Mus musculus: one gene and its partner. The protein of the gene in region 1 interacts with the protein of each later gene in a biochemical or structural test. Links are inferred from orthologs where the notes say so. Each region holds a gene or a part of one and is shown on either strand. Other genes may lie near its edges.

Region 1 (12,592 bases):
CAAATGCTTTTTCTGCATCTAACGAGATGATCATGTGGTTTTTGTCTTTGAGTTTGTTTATATAATGGATTACATTGATGGATTTTCGTATATTAAACCATCCCTGCATCCCTGGAATAAAACCTACTTGGTCAGGATGGATGATTGCTTTAATGTGTTCTTGGATTCGGTTAGCGAGAATTTTATTAAGAATTTTTGCATCGATGTTCATAAGAGAAATTGGTCTGAAGTTCTCTATCTTTGTTGGATCTTTCTGTGGTTTAGGTATCAGAGTAATAGTGGCTTCATAAAATGAGTTGGGTAGAATACCTTCTACTTCTATCTTGTGAAAAAGTTTGTGCAGAACTGGAGTTAGATCTTCTTTGAAGGTCTGATAGAACTCTGCACTAAACCCGTCTGGTCCTGGGCTTTTTTTGGCTGGGAGACTATTAATAACTGCTTCTATTTCTTTAGGGGATATGGGACTGTTTAGAAGGTCAACTTGATCCTGATTCAACTTTGGTACCTGGTATCTGTCCAGAAATTTGTCCATTTCGTCCAGGTTTTCCAGTTTTGTTGAGTATAGCCTTCTGTAGAAGGATCTGATTGTGTTTTGGATTTCTTCAGGATCTGTTGTTATGTCTCCCTTTTCATTTCTGATTTTGTTAATTAGGATTTTGTCCCTGTGCCCTTTAGTGAGTCTAGCTAAGGGTTTATCTATCTTGTTGATTTTCTCAAAGAACCAACTCCTCGTTTGGTTAATTCTTTGAATAGTTCTTCTTGTTTCCACTTGGTTGATTTCACCCCTGAGTTTGATTATTTCCTGCCGTCTACTCCTCTTGGGTGAATTTGCTTCCTTTTTTTCTAGAGCTTTTAGATGTGTTGTCAAGCTGCTAGTATGTGCTCTCTCCCGTTTTTTCTTGAAGGCACTCATAGCTATGAGTTTCCCTCTTAGAAATGCTTTCATTGTGTCCCAAAGGTTTGGGTACGTTGTGGCTTCATTTTCATTAAACTCTAAAAAGTCTTTAATTTCTTTCTTTATTCCTTCCTTGACCAAGGTATCATTGAGAAGAGTGTTGTTCAGTTTCCATGTGAATGTTGGCTTTCTGTTATTTATTTTGTTATTGAAGATCAGCCTTAGTGCATGGTGATCTGATAGGATACATGGGACAATTTCAATATTTTTGAATCTGTTGAGGCCTGATTTGTGACCTATTATGTGGTCAATTTTGGAGAAGGTACCATGAGGTGCTGAGAAGAAGGTATATCCTTTTGTTTTAGGATAAAATGTTCTGTAGATATCTGTCAGATCCATTTGTTTCATCACTTCTGTTAGTTTCAGTGTGTCCCTGTTTAGTTTCTGTTTCCATGATCTGTCCATTGGTGAAAGTGGTGTGTTGAAGTCTCCCACTATTATTGTGTGAGGCGCAATGTGTGCTTTGAGCTTTACTAAAGTTTCTTTAGTGAATGTGGCTGCTCTTGTATTTGGAGCATAGATATTCAGAATTGAGAGTTCCTCTTGGAGGATTTTACCTTTGATGAGAATGAAGTGTCCCTCCTTGTCTTTTTTGATGACTTTGGGTTGGAAGTCAATCTTATCAGATATTAGGATGGCTACTCCTGCTTGTTTCTTCATACCATTTGCTTGGAAAATTGTTTTCCAGCCTTTCATTCTGAGGTAGTGTCTATCTTTTTCTCTGAGATGAGTTTCCTGTAAGCAGCAAAATGTTGGGTCTTGTTTGTGTAGCCAGTTTGTTAGTCTATGTCTTTTTATTGGCGAGTTGAGACCATTGATGTTAAGAGATATTAAGGAAAAGTAATTGTTGCTTCCTGTTATTTTAGTTGTTAAAGGTGGCATTCTGTTCTTGTGGCTGTCTTCTTTTAGGTTTGTTGAGGGATTACCTTCTTGTTTTTTCTAGGGCGTTGTTCCCGTTCTTGTATTGGTTTTTTTCTGTTATTATCCTTTGAAGGGCTGGATTCGTGGAGAGATAATGCGTGAATTTGGTTTTGTCATGGAATACTTTGGTTTCTCCCTCTATGATAATTGAGAGTTTGGCTGGGTATAGTAGCCTGGGCTGCAGTTTGTGTTCTCTTAGTGTCTGTATAACATCTGTCCAGGCTCTTCTGGCTTTCATAGTCTCTGGTGAAAAATCTGGTGTAATTCTGATAGGCTTGCCTTTATATGTTACTTGACCTTTTTCCCTTACTGCTTTTAGTATTCTATCTTTATTTAGTGCATTTGATGTTCTGATTATTATGTGTCGGGAGGAATTTCTTTTCTGGTCCAGTCTATTTGGAGTTCTGTAGGCTTCTTGTATGTTCATATGCATCTCATTCTTTAGATTTGGGAAGTTTTCTTCAATAATTTTGTTGAAGATGTTTGCTGGACCTTTGAGTTGAAAATCTTCATTCTCATCCACTCCTATTATCCGTACGTTTGGTCTTCTTATTGTGTCCTGGATTTCCTGGATATTTTGAGTTAGGATCTTTTTGCATTTTCCATTTTCTTTGATTGTTGTGCCGATGTTCTCTATGGAATCTTCTGCACCTGAGATTCTCTCTTCCATCTCTTGTATTCTGTTGCTGATGCTCAAATCTATGGTTCCAGATTTCTTTCCTAGGGTTTCTATCTCTAGTGTTGCCTCGCTTTGAGTTTTCTTTATTGTGTCTACTTCCCTTTTTAGGTCTAGTATGGTTTTGTTCATTTCCATCACCTGTTTGTATGTTTTTTCCTCTTTTTCTGTAAGGACTTCTACCTGTTTGATTGTGTTTTCCTGTTTTTCTTTAAGGACTTGTAACTCTTTAGCAGTGTTCTCCTGTATTTCTTTAAGTGATTTATTAAAGTCCTTCTTGATGTCCTCTACCATCATCATGAGATATGCTTTTAAATCTAGGTCTAGGTTCTCAGGTGTGTTGGGGTTCCCTGGACTGGGCGAAGTGGGTGTGCTGGGTTCTGGTGATGGTGAGTGGTCTTGGTTCCTGTTAGTAAGATTCCTCCGTTTACCTTTCGCCATCTGGTAATCTCTGGAGTTAGTAGTTATAGTTGACTCTGTTTAGAGATTGTTCTTCTGGTGATTCTGTTACCGTCTATCAGCAGACCTGGGAGACAGATTCTCTCCTCTGAGTTTCAGTGCTCAGAGCACTCTCTGCTGGCAAGCTCTCTTACAGGGAAGGTGCGCAGATATCTTGTATTTGGACCTCCTCCTGGCCGAAGAAGAAGGCCCAAAACAGGACCTTTCTCAGACACTGTGTTGCTTTGGCAGTTCCCAGGTGGTACAGACTCTCACCTAAGCAGACTAAATTCCTAAGTTCCTTGGAGTCCCGGGACCAAGATGGCGACCGCTGCTGCTGTGGCTTAGGCCGCCTCCCCAGCCGGGTGGGCACCTGTCCTCCGGTCCGGAAGGTGGCCGGCTGTCCCCGGCCCACACAGGGTGCTGCCTCAGCTCCTCTGTGCTTCTGCCTGTTCCAGAAGCTGTCAGGTTCTCTGGCGCACCCTCTCACCTGTTCAGACTAATTTCCTAAGTTCGGCGGGTCCCGGACCAAGATGGCGACCGCTGCTGCTGTGGCTTAGGTCGCCTCCCCAGCCGGGCGGGCACCTGTCCTCCGGTCCGGAAGGTGGCCGGCTGTCCCCGGCCCACACAGGGTGCTGCCTCAGCCCCTCTGTGCTTCTGCCTGTTCCAGAGGCTGTCAGGTTCTCTGGCGCACCCTCTCACCTGTTCAGACTAATTTCCTAAGTTCGTGCATATTTCTTTAAACAGTTCACACCATGGATTGTCTGTCAGTGCTCTCCATACCATCGGGAAGATGTTTAGTAACTTTCGATATAAGTAATCAAATGAGAGACGTGCAGAAATCACGTCTTTCTCTAGAACTGCTTGTAGTACCAAAATCTGCAGTAGACAGGTCTCTGTAAATGAATAGAACCAATAGAATGTATACATATTATATGTGGGCTTATTGGATTGGCTTACATGATAGGGAAACTAGCAGTCCAACAATGGCTGTCTGTACACTGGCAAGGCATGGAATGTGGTAGCTGCTCAGTCCAAAAAAAAAAAAAAAAAGACATTTCAGCAGACCCAATCCAGTGTCAAAAGCCTGGAGAGTCACTGAAAAGTCACTGGTGTTAAGTTCACTTGGATAAAGTCTGGTGGCGGCCAATAATGGCAACAGCAGTGATACGTGCAGTCAAAAGGAAGAGAAGAGGGAATAAAGGGATGGCTCAGTAGCTAAGAGCACTCGTTGTTCTTGCAGAAGACCCAAATTTGGTTCTGAGGGACAACTATCTGTAACTTCAATATCTGAGGATCTGACACGCCCTACTGGCCTCTGCCAGAACTGCACGCAAATGGCTCAAATACATACATGCAGGTAAAACACTAGTACACAGAAAATGAAACAAGTCTACAAATAATTTTTGTAAAGGAAGTGAAAGCAGGCATAGGCTTGCTGCATTTTACTCAGACCTCTCTGTATCTGGGTGACCCATTGGAAGATGCCACTCCCACTGAAGGTCTGTTCATCCGCACTTGAAATGCCCTCACAGATATGCCCAATGCGTATCTTCTAGGTGATTCTAATTCTACTGAAGTTGACAACCATGGCTAGTTACCATAACTATATGGTTTTCTGTTCTTTGTTGCACTTACGTTTGTCTACATCCTCTCAGGGACTGGGTCTGTTTGTTGTATATCGTATTGTTCTATTACTATATTCTAGAACAGTGTTTGGCATGAACATCTGTTGAATTAAGCCCAAGTCTCTATTCACAACACCCATGTGATGGCTTTACACCGGGTAAGTGCTCAATTAATGTCTGTTAAATGAAACGGAGACCTAAAATCTGCAGAACTTAGAGCACAGTGCTTATCTGAGTAGTTTAGAGCATGGGTTCCAGTCAAATGGCAAGAACTTTCATCTCTCAGTTATGCTACCTAGTTGTGTTAGCACCGCTGAGCTTACAGTTCTTATTGGTAGAATGGAGGTACCTTTAGTACTGCCTTGATAGAGACTTTTGTTTGCACCTCAGACTTTGTAACGATTCAGTCATTGTCTGCTAAAGATAAAACAAGGACAGAAACAAAAAGCTAGCCTGGGTGGCACCTGTAATATCACCAATCAAGTAGTTGAGGCAGGATGATCACTCTGTCTCAAAAAAAAAAAAAGATTCTTTCTGTCTTATGATTACCCTTTCCCCACCTTCCAACAGCGTGAGCGAGGAGAAGTCAAGGAGACCTCCTTCAATCGGGATTCCTGGGTGCTGTGCCAGAACCAAAGAATTGGCTTCTTTCACTTTAGATCTTTTCTTACCACTTCCTTGTACCCGAACTCCCTTTCCTCGTAACATTTCAAGCCTCTTTTCCCTAACATAACCATGGAGTGGAGGCAGAAGTGTCGGAGGCAGGCATAAATAGTTTTCTCTCGTTGCCGGTTCTGAGGTTAGTCTCTCACTGGTGATGTAAGAAAGGTCGACTGTGAGAGATACTCATTACAGGGCCTAGGAAATGAAAGAACAATGGTCCTGATGAGGATGCGCTGACAGACCTGGATGCTGCCCTTTTCCTTGGTCCCCTGCAGGAGGCAGCACTTCGCGCACCCTGTCCAGATGCCCCTTTGATCGGTTCTATTGCTGCCTTTACTTCTGATGGCCCTAGCTTAGAGCAAGCTTAGGGACCCATTGAGCATCTCACTGCAACTCCCTCTTGCCAGTGGGGCGGGGTGGAGCGGGCAGAAGACAGCCTGAAATTGGCAACACGAGAACACAGGATCGCAGGATCATACTCTTCAGCTCTCTAGTGGCCCAAATCTCAGCCACCTAGACTAGGGTTGCCAGTAACTCCACAGAATAGGGGAGATGTGTCTGAGTCCGGGGGGTGGGGGGGCGCCTCTGCTTCTGCTCCTTTAAGAAGCCGCTGTTTAGCATTCCTGCTGCTGCCGCTGCCGCTGCCTGACTCTGCGCTCTGATTGGCTGGAATCAATTGAGAAGGGAGCCAGGGAGAGATGCTCTTGACTCCACTCAGATCCATCCTGGGGACCTGAGCAGAAGAGGTTCTCGCCGCACCTAGCCTTTGCCTGGGCGCCCGATTCTTCTTTGCCGCTGGGCCTCGGCCCAGAAGCCACAACGGGCGACACGGAGCCGCCAGTGCTGGAGGGGGAGCCATGGGTGCGGGGCAGCGTGGGGGCAGAGGCCCCAGGACGCCCGCCCGGCCCCAGGCCCCGCTCAGCCAGGGCACCCCCACGGGTGCCCCCTCCTTCTTGGTCTGAGCAGTGCGAGTGTGCTAGGGAGCCCGGCGGCGGCGGCGGCGGCGTGGAAACTGGCGTGGGCTGGGGGGTCCGAGCCGCGGGGGGCAGTGCCATGCACAAGCACCAGCACTGCTGTAAGTGCCCCGAGTGCTATGAGGTGACCCGCCTGGCCGCCCTGCGGCGTCTTGAGCCTCCTGGCTACGGGGACTGGCAGGTGCCGGACCCCTATGGGCCAAGTGGGGGCAATGGGGCTAGCTCCGGTTATGGAGGCTACAGCTCGCAGACCCTGCCTTCACAGGCAGGGGCTACCCCCACCCCTCGCACCAAGGCCAAGCTCATCCCCACAGGCCGAGATGTGGGGCCAGTGCCCCCTAAGCCAGTCCCCGGCAAGAGCACCCCAAAACTCAACGGCAGTGGCCCCGGCTGGTGGCCCGAGTGCACCTGTACCAACCGGGACTGGTATGAGCAGGTAAGGACCGGCAGATGAGGAGGAGGGGAGGCTGGTGGGACAACCCAAAGGACTAGGGATTGGGGTCTAGGAAGTCTGGGGAGCAGTAGAGGTTGCTGGGGCTCCAAGTCTATGGATCTGAGCCTTTAGCAGCTGACCAAAGAGAGACTGTTGAAAATACATCTTCTATGTGTGTCTGTTTAGGGGGTCTCCGTTTGGAGGGGATTGGGAGGAGCTGTTTGTATCAGGGGGTGATGGTATGGCGGAGGGGCACATTTTTCTAGTGTGGGGGATTTGGGTTTGTCTCAGTGCAGGGCGGGGGGGTGGCAGTGTCTCTGTGTCTGGCAGGGGGCGGGAGGTTCTGCGGGGGTTGTATGTGGTGTGTGTCTCCATAGGAGGGGAGGAGGGGGCATGGTGCTCTGCGTGGGGGGGACATATGTGTTTGTATGTATGTTGGGGTGTGTGGAAGAAAGCAATGGAGCTTGTGTGAATGTATGTATCAGAACCCATGTGCCCAGATGGCTGAGCGTCATCTCTCCATACCATGAGTCCCTCTCCATCCCAGTCCCTTTGTGTGTGAACGTGCACATGGATATGTGAGGATGTGTCTCTGAATGTGAAGGTGTCTCTGTCGATGAGGCTGCAGGGATAGCTGTGTTCGCCCGAGGGTGTCTCCATGTATATGTGTGTAAGCATGTGGCTTCAAGAGTGTACACGTGTGTGTGTGTGTGTGTGTGTGTGTGTGTGTGTGTTGTCCCTGATGAGAAGCGCTTAACAGGCAAAAGGGGGGGGGGCAAGACACATCCCAAGCAAGGCTGAGATGCTGCTGAGAAGGACAGACTCTTTTGTCCAAGCTGCTCTGAAGTGTGTGCTGCGGGGGGTTGGGGGGCAGGGGGTGTTAAACAAGCCTTCTTGCTCCAAAGCAGGCATATTGCCTGGAACCAGGCAAAGGGTAGCTGCCCTAATGCAGGGTCTTCTCTGAGTGGGACATGGCCCTTATGGGTACCCACAGATGTGAGAGAGCTTAGCTCCCCAGCTCTGATTTGGCACAGCTTGGGAGCCCCTGGGTGCTGGGCACAACTCCGGCTTCCACTCCCAGCCTGAACTGCCAGCTTAGAAAATGGAAGGAGCGTCTGTGGGAGAAACAGCAAAATGGAGGCTGGGCCAGCAGAGCCAGGTCTCTGGCACGCATGGCGGAGGGCCTGTCTAGTTCTTCAGTTCTGCAACCCCCAGGGTGGAAAGAGAGGAGGAGAGGCTTTGCTCTCTATGGAAGGTGCTGACTGTCCCAAGCTGGTGACCATCTGGTCACCCCTGTCCTCTTCGGAGAATAGGATGTGCTTTTACCTAGAAGCAAAAGAGGGGGCTTCTTGGAGATCAGAATTATCCATTCTGTATGTCTGTCTGTCTACACCTCTTCCTATGTCCCTAGCCTTGGTTCCTTGCCCTCTCCAGTGAGTCCCCTCTTTTTTGCCCCTCCCTTATAAGCACACGCTCATGCTTGGCCTGCCTAGTGAGAAATAGGTGCCAATTCCAGGGCCGGGCCTGTTGGGTGATCTTTGGATGGCTCCTGACCCTAGAGGCAAGGTCCCTGAGTGGAAGTGGGACCAGAGCTAGAGGGTGGACTACTGGGAGCTGAAACCTCCAGGTGCCACCCAAACTAGGTGGGCATGGCTTATCACATGTGGAACACACATGGTACACTAGGTACACGAGAGAGTGTACCTGCATGGGCTCTCTTTTGCTCTGTAACGGTTGTATGGCACTTCAGTTGGCTGTGTTAGTTGCGGGGGGGGGGGTCTCTGATGAAGCAGTGATTTTTCTTCCTGGGACCAGGGTGAGGCTGCAGCTGGAGCCCTCCCCACTGACTCCTTAAGACCACAGAACATGAAGGGGGAGAGAGAGGGGAGGCTAGTCAGCACTCTTGAAGCCAGTGCTGCAGAGGATGAAGGTGGGAAGGGGGAGGCAGAGCAGACTATGTTAGAAGAACACTCACCCTGTGTGCTCTCTTCTGGGGCCACAACTTCAGAAGGGTGTAACACAGCCAGAGAAATGTGGATCAGTGCTGGGACACTTGGTGAGGGAGACAAGGGGCTTCCTTTAGTCTTGAAAATGATTGTGGGAATGAGGAAGCAGGTGTACTTGTCTGTGCAGAATCAGATTTCCACTTGAACAAAGGCCACAAGTATGTCCTGTCTGGAAGGCAATGTCTATTTGTTGCTGAAAACAACCTGTGTTTTTTTTTTTTTTTGAACCCCTTACTAGCCTGTCTTGCCATGGCTACTGTGTGCTTAAGATCACAAATTCTGATCCTACTGTCTATGGGTCATCAGGTTCCCCGTCATGGGAAATTTTGTCTACCCCAGTCCTGTCCTAACCCTGATTTGTCCTCAGACTCCTGGCCAGTTCCCACCCTGACCCTTTCTTCTGGAGCACAGAAAGGGTTCAAATCAAAAGTTGCTTTGGAAAAAAATTTGGATTAGGATTTTCACTCCTGTCCATTTGAGAACTTGTATTTCTGGGACCTTTGAAGGACGTGTAAAAATAGGACTTCCGGGAAATAACTCTGATGGAAATAACATGGAGAAGGGATGATCAGCCAAATTACCACTGGCCTTGAAACCTCCTATAGTCCAAAGAGTACCTGGAGATACAAGTTCTATATCCTAACTCCCAGTGTGCTTTTGGCACACCCCACAACCACTCTGGGCCTTAGTGTCCTCAATTGTCATGTGAAAGTGGTATATGTTGTCTTTCTATATCTGACATTGTGGGACTCTATGATCCCAAAGTCAGGGGGAACTGTTGTTCAGAAATGGAGAGGTTCCCTCACCAGGCTTCCTATGGATGTTGGGTGTGGTACAGTTTGCCCACCATGCTCCATCTCTGCCATCCCCCTTAGGCCAGCCCTGCACCCCTCCTAGTGAACCCCGAGGCCCTGGAGCCCAGCCTATCGGTGAGTGCACCACTGGTTGGCTCAGTCTCAGACAGTTGATCTGGGCTAAACAAGCAACTGGTTTTGGACTGATATGGTTGGATACAAGGGGAGGGATGTGCTCGCTCAGGGTCAGCCTGTCCCCATCTGTGATCTAGAGATGCCTTGTCGTGTGCTTGGGATCTTTGTGGGAGTGGGGAAGGAGTAAACTGATGAGAGGGCAGATGAGTAGGTGGGCAGAAGACACTGAAGGAAGTGCTACTGTCTTCTTTTAGGTGAATGGCAGTGATGGCATGTTCAAGTATGAGGAGATAGTACTGGAACGGGTAAGTTTTCCAGGAGGGAGATTGGGAAACAGGGGGCAAAGTTTACATCCAGGAGAGGGGAGGGCCTAGAGCAGCATTTCAAGACTCACGGGGGAGCCTATACTGAGGGTATGAGGAAACAGGGCCTTCAGAAGCCACATCACTGCAGCTACCAATCAACTCACAAATATTGATCTTGTTGACTGAGGCCTGGAAACTTGGGGTGGGGGTTGGTTTGCTGAGGCCTCTCCACCAAAATGGTGAACATAGACTGAGAAACTGCTAGGTTTCTGATGAATGTGCCCCACCCTTCCCTTGGAATCTGGAGAACCGACTCTGGGATATGGAAGGAGATGGAACCCTCCTGTGTGCTCTCAGAATGAAATGACTGTGCCCTTCCACCCCCTTTCAGGGCAACTCTGGCCTTGGCTTCAGTATCGCAGGTGGCATCGACAACCCTCATGTCCCTGATGACCCTGGCATCTTTATTACCAAGATCATTCCTGGTGGAGCAGCTGCCATGGATGGGAGGCTGGGGTGAGATGGCCTGGAAGCAGGGCTGTGGGTGGAAGGGACAGGATGGAGATGAGGGACAAGGATGACCCTTCCATTATATTGGAGAAGAAGAGGGAAAGGAGGAAGGGAGAGCCGAGGAGAGGGAAGATACAGGCGACAATAGAGGGGCGGCACACACTGTCATGCCTCTTGGGCTTTCCCTACAGGGTGAATGACTGTGTGCTACGGGTGAATGAGGTGGACGTGTCCGAGGTGGTGCACAGCCGGGCCGTGGAGGCACTGAAGGAGGCAGGCCCTGTGGTGCGGTTGGTGGTGCGGAGGCGACAGCCCCCACCTGAGACTATCATGGAGGTCAACCTGCTCAAAGGGCCAAAAGGTGGGGCCCTCCTGGTTCCCGTGCTCTAGCAACCCACCCCCAGCCCCTGGGTTCATGGCCGCCCCATAGGTGAATGGAAGGGAGGGGTTTTTCTCCTGGCATGATTACTCCAGTCCCAGATCCTAGCCTTCTTTCTTGACCTCCGATTTCAATCCTTACTGACCTTGGGATGATAGGATGGTGAAGCTTTTGGAGAGGGCAGAGGGAGGGGATTGGCTTCAAAATGGATGAACCGTGCTAACTTCTCCCTGTGGCTCTCTCCCACTTCCTGCTGGCTGCCATTTAGGCCTAGGTTTCAGCATTGCTGGGGGCATTGGCAACCAGCACATCCCAGGAGACAACAGCATCTATATCACCAAGATCATTGAAGGAGGAGCTGCTCAGAAGGATGGACGCCTACAGATTGGGGACCGGCTGCTTGCGGTGAGATAGCCTTCAAGGGGATGCCCAAACAGTAGGGTAGGGAGGATCAGCTCTGGTAAACCGTCTCACTCCATCAAAACCTCACCTCAGGATAAGGCATTTTGGCAATTTCAAGATCACCTGAGTTGGTCTTACTCAGCTAACAAGGCCCTAGTTTTTTCCCATGGTGGGGCCAACCATGCTTATATATTATCCCTTTAACCCTACCCGACTGGTACCTGTTAGTATGCTGAAAGACCACTCCTTTGAGTGCCCCGGAGAAGTTTTCCCTTCTAAGACCCACCCTAGGGTGTCTCCTCTTCTAGGTGAACAATACCAATCTGCAGGATGTGAGGCATGAGGAAGCTGTGGCCTCACTCAAGAACACATCAGACATGGTCTATCTGAAGGTGGCCAAGCCAGGCAGCATCCACCTCAACGATATGTATGCTCCCCCTGACTATGCCAGCAGTACGTACTCATTGCTCTTTGGCCCTGGTTTCAGTGGAGACGGTGTCTGGCCCCTTTGTTCAGAAAGAACTAGTACTGATGGTATTGTCATAACTGAGTTCAGGTGCCAGCCTTGTGCTTTGGAGTTGGGTGCCCTTGGACAAGACCTTTTCACAACTTTAGTTTTTCTCTTTAGTCCAAATAAGCTAATGGTGTGTGTGTGTGTGTGTGTGTGTGTGTGTGTGTGTGTGTGTGTGTGTATCGCCTTCCTCATAGGACTGGTGCAAGGATTGAGTGAGATCATGGATGAGAAAGCCTTTGGAAAACTATTAGGCTTCAGAGATGTAAGGGATTATTATTATTATTAATCACACCTCTAGTCATGCCTTTCTTTGTAGACTGCTTTGACTTCAGCTCTTTCTAAGACTCACAGGAGTAAGCCTAGGGTTTAGAAAGGGACAGAGGAGGAGGAACCCTGGGGTGAGGGTGGGTAGTGGGTAGAGCAGGGAGCAGTGGCCTAGGGAATCGGCATTCCTTGGTCCTTTTTGTACCTGAGGTAGGATGTAAGGAAAAATCCTTTGAGGGGGTTGGGAAAAAATTCTATAGTGGAACATCTCTGGACACCTCTCTCTCTCTCTCTCTCTCTCTCTCTCTCTCTCTCTCTCTCTCTCTCTCCACCTCAGCTTTCACTGCCTTGGCTGACAATCACATAAGCCATAATTCCAGCCTGGGTTATCTTGGGGCAGTGGAGAGCAAGGTCACCTACCCTGCTCCACCTCAGGTGCCCCCTACTCGTTACTCTCCTATTCCCAGACACATGCTGGCTGAGGAAGACTTTACCAGGTAAGACACTCTCCTGTTCTTTCAACCTAGAGGGGGTGAGAATAAATTTTCTGGCTGTTGACAGGCCTTCTTGTAGTATGGCAAAAGGGCAAGGCCCT
Region 2 (12,686 bases), on another chromosome or scaffold:
TCTTGCAAGACAACATCATATCCAGAACACTGACACTGGTCCACTCAAGACACAGAACATTCCTCTACCACAAGTATCTTTCATGCTGGAAGCCAGGATTCGTTAAGAGTAGAAACAACTTAAGCAAACTTAATGGTGGAGAGAAAGCCCACTGGGGCAAGCCAGAGAAGAAAAAATAGTTTTAAAGGTTGCATCCACTGAAAAATTCAAAATTCTAAGATACTAAGAACTACTGTGATTTCCACAAAGGGGAGGGGGGCATTAGAGGGGAAGTGATTCTCTAAATGTAGTCCCAGAACAGAACTATAAGAAGTAACTATATTCACTCTCAAACAGAACTAATGAAAGGGAGAAGGAAATGCTGTGTCTTTATCCTGCCTCACCTCATCAATTTATTAAGGATTTAGGTTGGAGGAATGTACCTAAATACAACCTACAAAATCTGCCACCATCCCAACCCTGTTAATCGCGTCCTATGTTCACTTACCATGATGATCAGCAGGTGCCCCTACAACCCTCTGGTGACGATTGAGGAGCAGTCATTTCTAGCTCAGCCTTATCACAGGGCCCGGAAATGACTCCACCTGAGGGCTGAAAACATTCTTCACTTAAAGCAACACACCCAGGTTTTAAGGTTTTCAGCTCTCTGATGGCAAGCCAGCCATACTGGGCCTAAACAAGGTGTGATGAAGTTTGCGCCAACTACACCTTAGTCTTCTAAGTTAGTGACTATTTAACTGTAACTGCTTCTAAACTATATGTATGATGAATATAATAAATTACATTGTGTGTATTTGTGGGAGGAGAGCTCACATTCATGTGTATGCGCATGCCTTGGGAGACCAGAGGACAGACTCCAGCGTTGGTCCCCAAAAGCCACCCACCTTGGTTTTTGTTGCAGGGTCTCTCACTGGCCTGGCACTTGCTGATTAAGCTAGGCTGGTTGGCTGAGGTAGCCAAGGCATTTTAAAATTAACTGGCAAACGTGTGTGTGTGTGTGTGTGTGTGTGTGTGTGTGCCCTAGGGATCCATTTGCCCCCACCTATACATCACAGATTGTCTTAGTAACTATTCTATTGCTGTGAAGAAACACCATGGCCAAGATGACGCTTATAGAAGAAAGCATTTAGCCAGGTCTTGTTTATAGCTTCAGAGGCTCAGTCCATTATCATGGTGGGAAGAACAGCAGCATGCGGGTAGATATAGTGCTAGAGAGGCACCAGAGGCCACAGGCATCAGAGAGAAATAAACCCAGTGCCACACTGTCTCTAACAAGAGGGCACACCTCTTAATCCTTTGAAATGTTTCCATCGCCACTCCCTGGCGATCAACCAATCAAATCTATGAGTCTATGGGAGCCATTCTTATTCAAATCACCATACTAATATACCAACACACTGGTATAATGAAGGATACAGCTAAGGCTTTCATGCTTGTATAACAAGCACTTTTCTGACTATCTTCACAACCCTCACAAATGTCCTCCAAAGTTTTTCCTTTGGTGTTAAGAATTGAGTCAATGTTCATGAAGAAAACGAAAGCATATGGGTAACACTTGCTGCACTTGCAAATCAGCCTGGAAGTGCTGGGAACCAAACTCCTGTCTTCTGCAAAGGCAGCGAGAGCTCTTCCCACTGAGCTATCTCTCCAGCCCCAAATCAACCTTTTCCATTTGCTCCATATGGATTTGATAGGTATCTTCTCCTTGAATAAGGTTCAGACCATTCTCAAAACAGACAAGACCAGACACATTCAGTTGGGTGTAAACATAAATCAGTCCTAAAGAATTACAGAGAACAAAGACAGTATCATTTTTTTTCTTTGTTTTTTTTTTTCCCCTCTCTTTTTGAGACAGGCTCTTACTATGTAGACTGTATGAAATTCCAATTCTCAGTCAGCTCACACTGACTGGCCTCTTACATGCTGGGATTAAAGCCATGTGTTGGAGATTGGTTCTAATGCTTTTGATTCAATGGGGAATCTTTGTGATTCCAAAAGCTAAAGGTCCTTGTCCCCAATTGTTTTTTGATAGATAATAAAGATGCCAGCAGTTAATGACTGGGCAAAAGGAGAAGGGGCAGGACCCTTAGAGTTGTGTGAGCTAGGACACAGAGGGGAGGAGACGGAGAGATCGCCATGAAGTGGTGGGAGATGGATGGATGCAGAAGCTGCAGGAGAGAAAGCCAACCACCCGTGTGAGAATTCAGGCTGTGTGTGTGTGTGTGTGTGTGTGTGTGTGTTCAATTCATAAATCCAAAGAGTTTCTGGGAGGGTGGCTGGAAGTGCATAACCCTCGGAGAACACAAAGTGGTGTAGCCCAAATCTACCTCTACAGCCATGCATTGCCATTGCTTGGTCAGATGCACTCTTTCTACCAGCACCTCCCACACATGCACTTTGTCCAACAGCACTCCCAGACATGGGCGAATTTTCTAGATTTGTGCTATTACTTTGCTAATATAGTACTTTAATTTTAATTTGTTATACTTATTTTCTTTGGTAAGCAAGTTCAAATTCCTAAAACTTTATGGAAGCATCTCTCACATAAACTACAGCAACTCTCCATAATGTATGTTTTCCTTGTGCAATTAGTTGAAAAGCTGCAAGACCAACATTGAGACTTTCCAAAGAAAAAAGAAAATTCTGATGTAGATAACAGCATCTGTGTCTTCAACAGCTCCTAGTCAAGGGTTCCAGCCCACAGAGCACCTGCTGATGGCAGATCCCACAGCTTCTACAACCACATACAGCAAATCCTTGAAATAAATCCTATATGCATACAGCACTGGTTTAGACACACTTGGTAGCTATGCTTAAGTCTTCAAAGAATGAAGAAAATGAAGCTGATAAAAGCATGGTGCTTGCTCTTAGGATTCCCTTTCATTACCATTTGTTTCTTAAGGTTTTTTTATTTTAGTATTTTTTTTTAGTAAATGTAATTTCAGTGGCCAGTTCTTCACATACAACCAACCAAAAGAGCCGCCTTGAATTTCTGTTGGCTTTGGGTTTTGTTTTTGTTTGAGTTCATTGTTTTTGAGATTTATGTTTATTTTGTGTGTGTGGGTGTGTATGGCCATGGGCCCAATATGCGTGGGCACAAGTGTAGGTAAGAAGAAGGCATTGGATTAAACTGGAGTTAAAGGCAGTTGTAGGCTACTCAATGTGGATACTGAAGTCCAAACTTGTATCTTCTACAAGGTCAACAAGTTCTCTTAACTGCTGAGCTACCTCTCCAGCTCTGGTTTTGGCTCTTTAAGACAAAGTCTTAACATGTGGACCAATTTAACCTGAGCTCCCCATCTTCCTGCCTCTACCTCCCAAGTCTTGAGATTACGAGCTTGTGAAACCTTATTTATCTAAGAAAAAAAAAACCTCTCAGCAACAAACTAGTGATTTGGGGTTGTTTGTTTGTTTGTTTGTTTGTTTAAATCACTCAGCTCTGAAAAATAATTCTGACTAATATCCTGAACATTTTTGAAGTACTGTTTGATGATCCTCCATTGATGGGCTCTAGAAATCACTGGCCATTGTCGTTCTGCCCTTATTTCACCCAAATCCTTCCCATCTCCTTCCATCCTTTCCACCCATTAGGAACATAACTCAGACTTTTAAGTCTTCAATGTCTTTTACTAAGATAGTCAAGCACACACACACACACTGCAATGACACCATGACCAAAAATCAAGTTGGAGAAGAAAGGGTTTATTTTATGCTCCCACAACACGGTTCATCATCAAAGGAAGTCAGGACAGGAACTCAAGCGGTATATGAACCTGGAGGCAAGAGCTGAAGCAGAAGTCACACAAGAGTGCTGCTTATTGGCCTGCTCCTCATGGCTTGCTTAGTCTTCTTTCTTATAGAACCCAAGGCCACCAGCCCAGGGATGGCACCACCTATGATGGACTGGTCCCTCCCCCATCAATCACTAATTAAGAAAATACCTACAGGCCTACCAATTTTCTCCACCCTAACCTGAAAAAACTATGTTATAACAGAGGAACCATTTGTCCAGAGTTGAAGATTCAATGATTCGCAGGTCATGTATTTAGTTCTGTCCTAGACAGTGAAAAATACTGAATCCAGGAAGCAGAGGGACAGGTCATTTAGACAATAGAAGATCAATCTATTATACATTTGTAGGGTTTCACTGGCCTTTTCCAAGGTTTTGTGACCAACTCTCAATATGTAGTTATGGTGATTTGAGTGACAAATGTCCTTCATAGGCTCTAGTCTTCAAACACCTGGTCCCCAGTTGGTGGTGCCATTTAGGAATGTTTATGGGTGGACCCTTGGGTGAAGAAAGTATGTCACTAGGGTCTGGCTTTTGGAGTTCATAGCACACTCCATTTCCAGTTCCCTCTCTACCTTGTAGTTGTAGTCAAAGATATGATCATTTTTTTTCTCCTAACACTGTTCCTGAAGCTTGCTGCCACATCTCCCAACAACAACAGACCATAAGCCCAAATAAACTCATCCTTTGGTAAGTTGCTTTGGTCAGAGTGTTTTATTACAACAGAACATCAACAAGTAAAAAGTCCAGCTTCCTTCCACGTGCTTCAATATACCATGGGCCTTCAATTCCTTTTCTTATGGTACAACCTAGCTGAAAGTCTAGTATTTTATTGTAGATATTCAATAGATATGTATGAGTAGCTAAAAAAAAAGTAACAACTTCCCAAGTGAATGAATATTGAAAGAATTTTCCTGCACAATTTCCATGCAGTGCACAACTTCCATGAAGTCCCCATATCAGCATCTTTTATTATCTATCACATTGATAGTAAATGTTCCCTAATAACTTCTGGTGATAACACCAAAACCAGCTTCAGTATCTTCAGGAATAGAGACAAACTAACTTGCTTCTGTGTGTAAAAGTGTGTGGTTCCACTAAAATATCTTCATTCTACCAAACTCGGCATAGAGATCAATTGTTTTGGATGACATTTCTGTATTTACATTGTATTTGCTAAACGCAATATTTTCTCCAGTATCTCACTCTGTTTAAGAATTCTTAAATCAAGAAAATAAAAATAAAAAGCATTTTTAAGTGCCAAAAGTCTTACCACCTAGAAAAATTTAATTAATCTCAACTTTCTATTCTGTATAATTACAAAGAGTGATTTATAATTAATTATAGTTCTTTTGTGGGTAGGATTACTATTCTATGATGAAACACCATTATCAAAAGCAACTTGGAGGGGGGAGGGCTTATTTTACTCACACTCCCCTCACAAATCACTTCATGATTTGTCATAGGGTTTCTATTACTGTGATAAAACACTGTGACAGAGGGGGAAAAAAACTTGAGGAGGGTTTATTCAGCTTACACTTCTATATCACAGTTCATCATCAAGGGAAGTCAGGACAGGAACCCAAGCAGTGCAGGAACCTGGAGGCAAGAGCTGACGCAGAGGCCGTGGAAGAGTGCTTACTAGCTTGTTCGTCATGTCTTCCTCTCCCTACTTTCTTACAGAACCCAGGACTACCAGCCCAAGAATGGTATAGCCATGATGGGCTGGCCTATTTCCCATCAACTACTAATTAAGAAAATGTTCTATAGACTTACCTACCGCCTAATATTAGAGAGGGTTTGTCATGGTTTGAATATGCTTGGCCCAGGGAGTGGCACTGTTTGGAGGCATGGCCTTGTTGGAGTAAGTGTGTCACTGTGGGTGTGAGCTTGAATACCCTTGTTCTATCTGCCTGGAAGCCAGTATTCTGCTAGCAGCCTTCAGATGAAGATATAGAACTCTCAGCTCTTCCTGTACCATGCCTGCCTGGATGCTGCCATGTTCCTGCCTTGATGATAATGGACTGAATCTGTATTCCAGCCCCAATTAAATATTGTCCTTATAAGGGCTGTCTCTTTCATGGTGTCTGTTCACAGCAGTAAAACCCTAAAACAGAATTTTTCTAAATTGACATAAAACTAGCCATCATTGTTCTATATTTCATATTTTATGCTTTCAGTTAAAATCACAATGTTTTGTTTTACTATATACCTCTTATTTTTAATTTTCTTTTATTTTCAAGATTATAATATAATCACACCATTTTCTCCCTTCTCTTTTCTCCTTCCCAACTCTCTCCTATACCCCTTCTTGCTATCTTTCACATTCATGGACTCTTTTTATTAATTATTGTTACATAGTCAATATGTAACAATATGTTATACATATATGTTCCTAAATACACAAATACAGCCAGCTCAGTCTGTATGATGTTATTTGTATGTTTTCAGGGCTAGCTGTTAGTATTGGCTAACCAATGGTATTCCCTGAAGAAGACCATTTCTTTATCGGCTGAATGCAGTCTTCACAGTTAATCAGTTATATTTAGACATCTCCCAGTCATTCATTTAGATTGCCTTTAATTTTTCTATTATACACAACATCATTAATATCTCCCTGTATACAAGAGAGACTACATTTAAGACCATTAGCGATATTTAAAATCAGAGAACGTTTTTATTTACCAATCTTCACATAATAACCTGAGCAGGGTCCCTTGTTTCATGCTGCACGTTTTGCAGTCTTGCAAGCAGAGAAAGCAGCCCTTTCCATTCGGTAAAGCGACTGTGTCCTACTTACTGAAAGACAGGAGTACATAACTAGATTTCACTGGTTCTCTAGAGACATCCTGGAGAACAAAGTATTGTCTTTGGCAATTGGGAATATATTCCACATGTATAACTTAGTGTTTATACGTCCAACTGCCTCTTGCTTTGGGGTCAATACCTTCATCCTGTCTAACGCTAAACAACAACAAATGATAAACAGCTTCCGATCCATTTTCCTGCCCTGCAAGTGAAAGTTCTAGTGAATAGAGACTGCCTTTCAGGAGTAAGGTGTGTAGTTAAAATAAATCCCCAAATTCCTAACTTTCACCTTACCACTTTCCCTTTGTCACTGGAGCTCCTAAAAGTTTGGTATGAAGTCTTCTGATTAGGGCGGGACTCCACGTAGCCTAGCAACCGCTTCCCACTCTCTGATTGGCCGATCTCTGGGCAGCCGCCATTTTCAAATCCCCGGATGACGGCGGTAGCCGCTCTCTGCTAGAAGGCGACTTGCTGCCTCGCAGAAGCTGGCGGGCATTGTGCCCGCCACGATCGGTCTCCTGGGCACTGGGCCACCGCCCCACCAACCCCCCTTCTCCGGACATGGAGCCAGAGCCGGCGGCTCAGAAGCAGCCCCGACCTCGGAGGAGAAGCCGCAGGGTCTCAATGCTCAGCGAGGAACCTGCCGCGGGGCTTCCGGCCGACACACCCGGGCCGGCGGCGAACGAGAGGTGAGGGTGGCGGGAGGTGGGTGAGAGCCGGGGACCGAGTCTGGAGACTCAGGACGGGATGGACTGGACGGTGGGTGACCAAGGACTGGCAGTGCAGTAGGGGAGGTTGGGGAAGGCCGGGCAGAAATGCCGCGGGAGGAGAGTGCGCTGCCCGGCGGGCTGCACCGAGGGCTGCACAGCGACTGCTCGGCCCTGCGTAGAAGGGGTGGACTCGTTGGACTTGTTGACAATCTCCTTTAACCCCGTCCCTGGGGAACCGTACATCTGCACCAGAGCTGTTCTCTACCAGAAACTAGTTGTGGATGCAGGCGCTCAGATCAAGACTGTCGTGGACCCTGTGATGAGAAGAGGAATTGTCACCTGAACAGATACCAACCCTTTCAGCCTAAAAGCGGCTGTTCAAATGAAATGTCCTTTGCAGACCAGAACAGGACAGGCTCCTGGAATGAAGAGATCAGAGAAAGACTCTTTCTGGCTTTTCAGTTATTAGCACATTTTCACATTCTGTGTTGTATCTTCATTTCTATGTGTCTGGGAAAGGCAAACACTAGGTTGATTTCAGAAATCTGTGTCTGGAAGAGAGGCTGTGGGAGTCATAATATTTTTATTAAATAGGAAATTGAAATGGCATTTGTCTGGACTACTCTGTCATTCTTTTGCCCTTCGAAATATGAGAAATGGTCTCAAAGTACTGAATGCAATGGTTTCCCATTATAACGTTAGACATTGAGTTACAAAGTATGTAACTTTGTTCAAATCTACGTCTACATAGTGAGTTTATGATAGTGTCTGCCTCATATAAGGCACTGTGTGAACATCAGTACTTATCATGGGCCTCGGCAGAAAACTCGGCAGAAATCTTGTCTGTCAGTTTTAAATCTGTTAAAGTAACAGTGCTGTGTCTGCTCCATCTTTTCAGACATCCCCATGGTCCACTTGACATGATTTCAGGGTTTTTTTGGTTTTGTTTCTGAGACAAGTTCTCACTGTGTAACTTGGTTACCCCAGAACTCACTACCTGTGTAGAGACGCTGGCCACAAACTCATATTGTACTTCTGTACCAGAGCTGTTCTCCATGGAAACTGGTGGACTGTAGGTGGTCTTACATCCATAGGACTATTGGTGAGAAGAGGAATTGTCACCAAGCAGGCTCCAAACCGTTCTGCCTAAAAACTGGTCTTTCTTCCTTAGCCTCCCCCTGTTCTCGGATTGCAGTGTGAACCTCGACGCCCAGGTCATTTGATAGGATGTTAAATTAATCTTTTATATAGCTTATAATCTAATCATGACAAATGGTTTTGAGGAAAAAGCAAACACCTTACTTTCATTATCAAGGCATGGGCAAACCCATTGTATTAAGTAACTCTATAAAGAGCTAGATTCTTTCAGTTAGTACTGATTTTTATGAGTTTGAAGTTTAAGGCAATATTTACCAGAATTCTTGCCTTCTGAAACTTCCTCTCTTCCAATCAGACCGTGTGTTTAAGAAGTCAGAGTGCAGAAAGAAGGCATCTTTGAGACTGAGAATTACAAGAATTAGGATGGGCTAGTGAAGGAGCAGAAAAGGAGGACTTCCTGAAGATGAACAGAAGCAGTGCTTCATTCCACGTGTGCTCAGTGTAATACAGTTGCACCTGCCCTAGCATCAGACACTGTTGAGGATGATGGGGATTCAGGTGAACAAAAGCAGATGGAGCGCTTGCTCTCAGGAACCTTAGATTCTCTTGGGAGGCGTTGGTCACATCATGCAGTGAATTTAAGCCTTTTTGATTCTGTGCAGAAGAGGAAAGATTCTAGGGCCCAGAGTTGGTAGATGACTCCAAGGAAACAGTATCCTCCAGACATAAGAGCACTGATGCACATCTAAACTTACAGAGATTGAAGGAATGCACAAGACCTGCAACAGGTTCAAACCAGACAAGATCCTAGCACTGAGAATGGGAGAGTTGACACACCATCCCACTCAGAACCAAGAAGCTGTTTGCAATTGATACCTCCTGGGAAAAGGAAAATTGTTGTTTTGTTTTGTTCCAGTGGAGTATTGGTATATCAACCACACTCCAGAGCAAGGCCCATGCCCAGGTGTCTTGGTCACTGATCCATTTTTGTGAAGAGACACCATAATCGAGGCAAAACTTAAAGAAAAGGTTTAACTGAGCCTGGCTTACAGTTTCAGAGGGTAGTCCATTATTATCATCATCATGGGACGCATGTAAGCAGACATGGTGCTAGAGAAGTAGCCAGAGCGCTTTATCCCCATCTGCAGGCAGAAGACAGTCTGACAGGGCCTGGCATGGGCTTTTGAAACCCCAAAATTCATCCCCAGTGACATACTCCTTCAACAAGGCCACACCTCTTAATCCTTCTAATCCTTTTCAAGAGTTTGCATTCAAATATATAAGCCTATAGGTGTTGTCTTATTTTCAAAACTTACTTTAATAAGGGTTCTTAAATGCTTCAACCTCCATTCTAACCTACCACCCACCAGAAGTAATGAAAAGGTTAATAGGGCAAAGGCAGATGTAGACCTGTTTAGAAGGGGTGATTCCAATCTTCAATGTCAGGATATCTGTAGCTCAGTTCTCATGAATCAGCAGTGGTAGCTGGATCCACTGGCAAACACCGTTCACGAATTAACAAGGGCTGTTTGATCCAGAGGAAACCATGAGGCTTTGCCAGTCGCCAGTCAGCCCAAGTCCAAGGAAGCTGCAAGAAGCCATGGAAATATCATGAGAAGTTCTTTGGTGAATTTCTCTCTACAAAGTCATGACAAGCAGTAACCAGTGAAGAAAGCAAAACAAAACCATGGTGGAGTGTCATCCACTGTCTGTTGCATTATAAATATACACTTTCCAAGCATCACGTGTCCTCTCAAGCATTTGCTCCAGCAAGACATCACATGTTCTTTTTCCAGGCAGCTTCCAGAAAAACACCATGTGTCTGTTCTCAGCAAAACATCTTCTCCTGTCTGCTTCAGCAAAAACATCCTCTCATAAGACAGTTTCCAGAAAAAATATCACATGACACGATGAGTCTTCGAAGAAACCAGCATTTCCACTTCATATAGGGGCTATTCTTATTCAGACCACCACACCTTGGGTAGTTGGCCCACACAAAACAGACACCATGTTTTTGTCTGATTGGTTGGTTATTTTGAAATATGAATCCTGCACATTAAGTTTGTTTTAGTATTTTTTTGTCTTAATGTCTTTTTTTTTTTTCATTTCTTTGGATTTTCTGTGTTTTGTTGTTTTTCCTGTTTGTTTTGATGTGGGGGTAGATCATGAGTTGGGTGGGTGAGGAGGTGGGAAAGATCCAGAAGGAACTGGGAAAGGGAAAAGTATGATCAAAGTATATTCTGTGGAAGAAACATTCCTATTTCATTTTTATTTGTTTGGCTGGTTTTGGGGGATCGGGAAGCTGGTATAGGCATGTGTGTGTTTCTTTCACCATGTGGACCCTAGAGATCAAACAGGGTGGCAGGTGCTTTTTACAGGCTATCCTGACAGTCAGTTTTACTGTTCTTTGGTGAAGCCTTTCTGGTAGCCATCTTTCCTTTATTGTCTTTGCTGAAATATACACACTTCTGCTTTCTCTTTAACTTAGAAAAGCTTGTAATTTTTGCCATCTGTAGCATTGTGATATATACATTCATATTGTGATATATACACACATACATACATCTGTAGTATAATGTATGGTAAAGATAATGTATGGTCAAGGTAAGAGTCAGATTTATAAATGGACCATGACCTGGCTAAAAAGCTAAATAATAATTTGTATAAAAGTTGATGTAAAAAAGCTAGAATTTTATTAGCAACTGTCTACTTTAAAGTTTTGGCCTGCTTCTTAAATTGTTTATTAAGATTTATTTTTAATAAAATTTTATTTTGCTTTCATGTATGTATATGCACTATGTGTGTGACTAGTACCCATGAAGACCAAAAACAGGGCATTGAATCCCTGGAGTTAGAGTTAAGGTTTTTGAGAGCCACCACGTGGTGCTGGGAACCCAAGTCCTCTACAGGAGTCTCTCCAACCCCACCCTGACATCTCAGAATCAACCAGAAAAGGCCAGATGCACACTTTATCTCTAGTCACAACAGTTATCACGTCATGTTCTCTTTAGGTTAGCCCACCAATAGCTTCCCCAGGACAGCTCCAACCGGGTTATGCTTGCACCTCCCCACTTTGTCCTGTTATAAAGCTTATCCTCCCTTTATCATTTGAACCTCTGCCAAAAGGCACGTGATGATAACTAGATCCCTTGCTCCTGCAAGCTCGGGACTGTTTCTGCTTTCCTTTGGCTGTCATTTATCCATGTTGGAAAAATATCTTTGTTCTGCATTCTATACATCTTAAGTGATTAACAGTATAGCTCATGGTTATCACCTATGTCATGTTTTGATTTATATATATATATATTTTGTCAATGTACACACTTAACATTTTTGTGAATATACAGGCCTGTATTTTAGAAAGGTAAAAGCAGGTTCCTCTTGCTTTTAACTCCAGTTTTTACAAATCAGGAGAAATGTACATTAATGTAAATAAGAGGATTTGGGTTTTATTTTTTTTTTACTTATATTAAAATATTAGCCATAAGTTTTGAATTGTACCAAGTATAGAGTTATGAGTTCATTTGGTTTTTCATTATTAGTAATATAATTATCAAGGCTGCTGTCATAGTAGTAGATTTTATATTTTTGAGTTGTATATTTACTCATGAGATGAACTGTGTTTATTTTAGAAAGTTATTTTGAATAGTAATCTCTCCACTAATTATATAGATTATATAGTCTCCTTTCAGTGTAAAGATTCTGAGGATGGCATGTACCCTGTCATATTTTGATGCTATCAGGAAAGACTGCTCTCTGCAGCTGCTGACACTGGATCACTATTTTAACTAGGTTTGAGATTAAGACTGTAAAAATGATAGCTCTTTATCTGGCAAGTATAAACTTTTGAAATTACTCTCTCTGTCTGACGCTTCTGTCCGTAGATGCTCCCTTCGGAGAGGCAGCTCCTTCACATTTTTAACCCCTGGCCCACACTGGGACTTCACTTTGGTGAGTAGCTACCTGAGTTTTCATTTCCAACCACTCCTGGGTTATCCACTCCTGGGTTATCCACTCCTGGGTTATCCACTCCTGGGTTATCTTCCATTCTGCTGCACAGCTCACGTATACTTCCGAAGCAGAGCTGCTATAGCTGTACTTAGCCCTTTATTCCCAGCAAGCTGAAGAAAGTTTTATTAAGAGTAAATAAAATAGTCTCAAAGTACTCATATAAATTCACCTTTAACACTGAACTTTTTTGTTCCTTTGAGTGTTAGAAAGTAAGATACTACTTTATGTATATTCTTTGACAACTTCTTTTTGACTGACTGAATGATTGA

Evidence for each region.
Region 2: the proteins of Dlg3 (region 1) and Net1 interact in a test that uses a peptide from one of them, tested with the Homo sapiens proteins (2 studies listed by IntAct, with this or other methods). The link is inferred for Mus musculus from reciprocal best matches to the Homo sapiens genes DLG3 and NET1.

Annotation. Positions count from the first base shown.
Region 1 is NC_000086.7:100,761,738-100,774,329, forward strand, and holds the start of Dlg3 (disks large homolog 3), read left to right. Parts: upstream 1-5,984; 5' UTR 5,985-6,334; coding exon 6,335-6,691; intron 6,692-9,569; coding exon 9,570-9,623; intron 9,624-9,877; coding exon 9,878-9,928; intron 9,929-10,319; coding exon 10,320-10,444; intron 10,445-10,629; coding exon 10,630-10,799; intron 10,800-11,085; coding exon 11,086-11,222; intron 11,223-11,527; coding exon 11,528-11,672; intron 11,673-12,334; coding exon 12,335-12,494; intron 12,495-12,592. UniProt on the Homo sapiens protein: Required for learning most likely through its role in synaptic plasticity following NMDA receptor signaling.
Region 2 is NC_000079.6:3,912,539-3,925,224, reverse strand, and holds the start of Net1 (neuroepithelial cell-transforming gene 1 protein), read left to right. Parts: upstream 1-7,004; 5' UTR 7,005-7,159; coding exon 7,160-7,287; intron 7,288-12,290; coding exon 12,291-12,357; intron 12,358-12,686. Other genes in the region: Tubal3 (tubulin alpha chain-like 3), read right to left, coding at 488-490. UniProt on the Homo sapiens protein: Acts as a guanine nucleotide exchange factor (GEF) for RhoA GTPase. May be involved in activation of the SAPK/JNK pathway Stimulates genotoxic stress-induced RHOB activity in breast cancer cells leading to their cell death.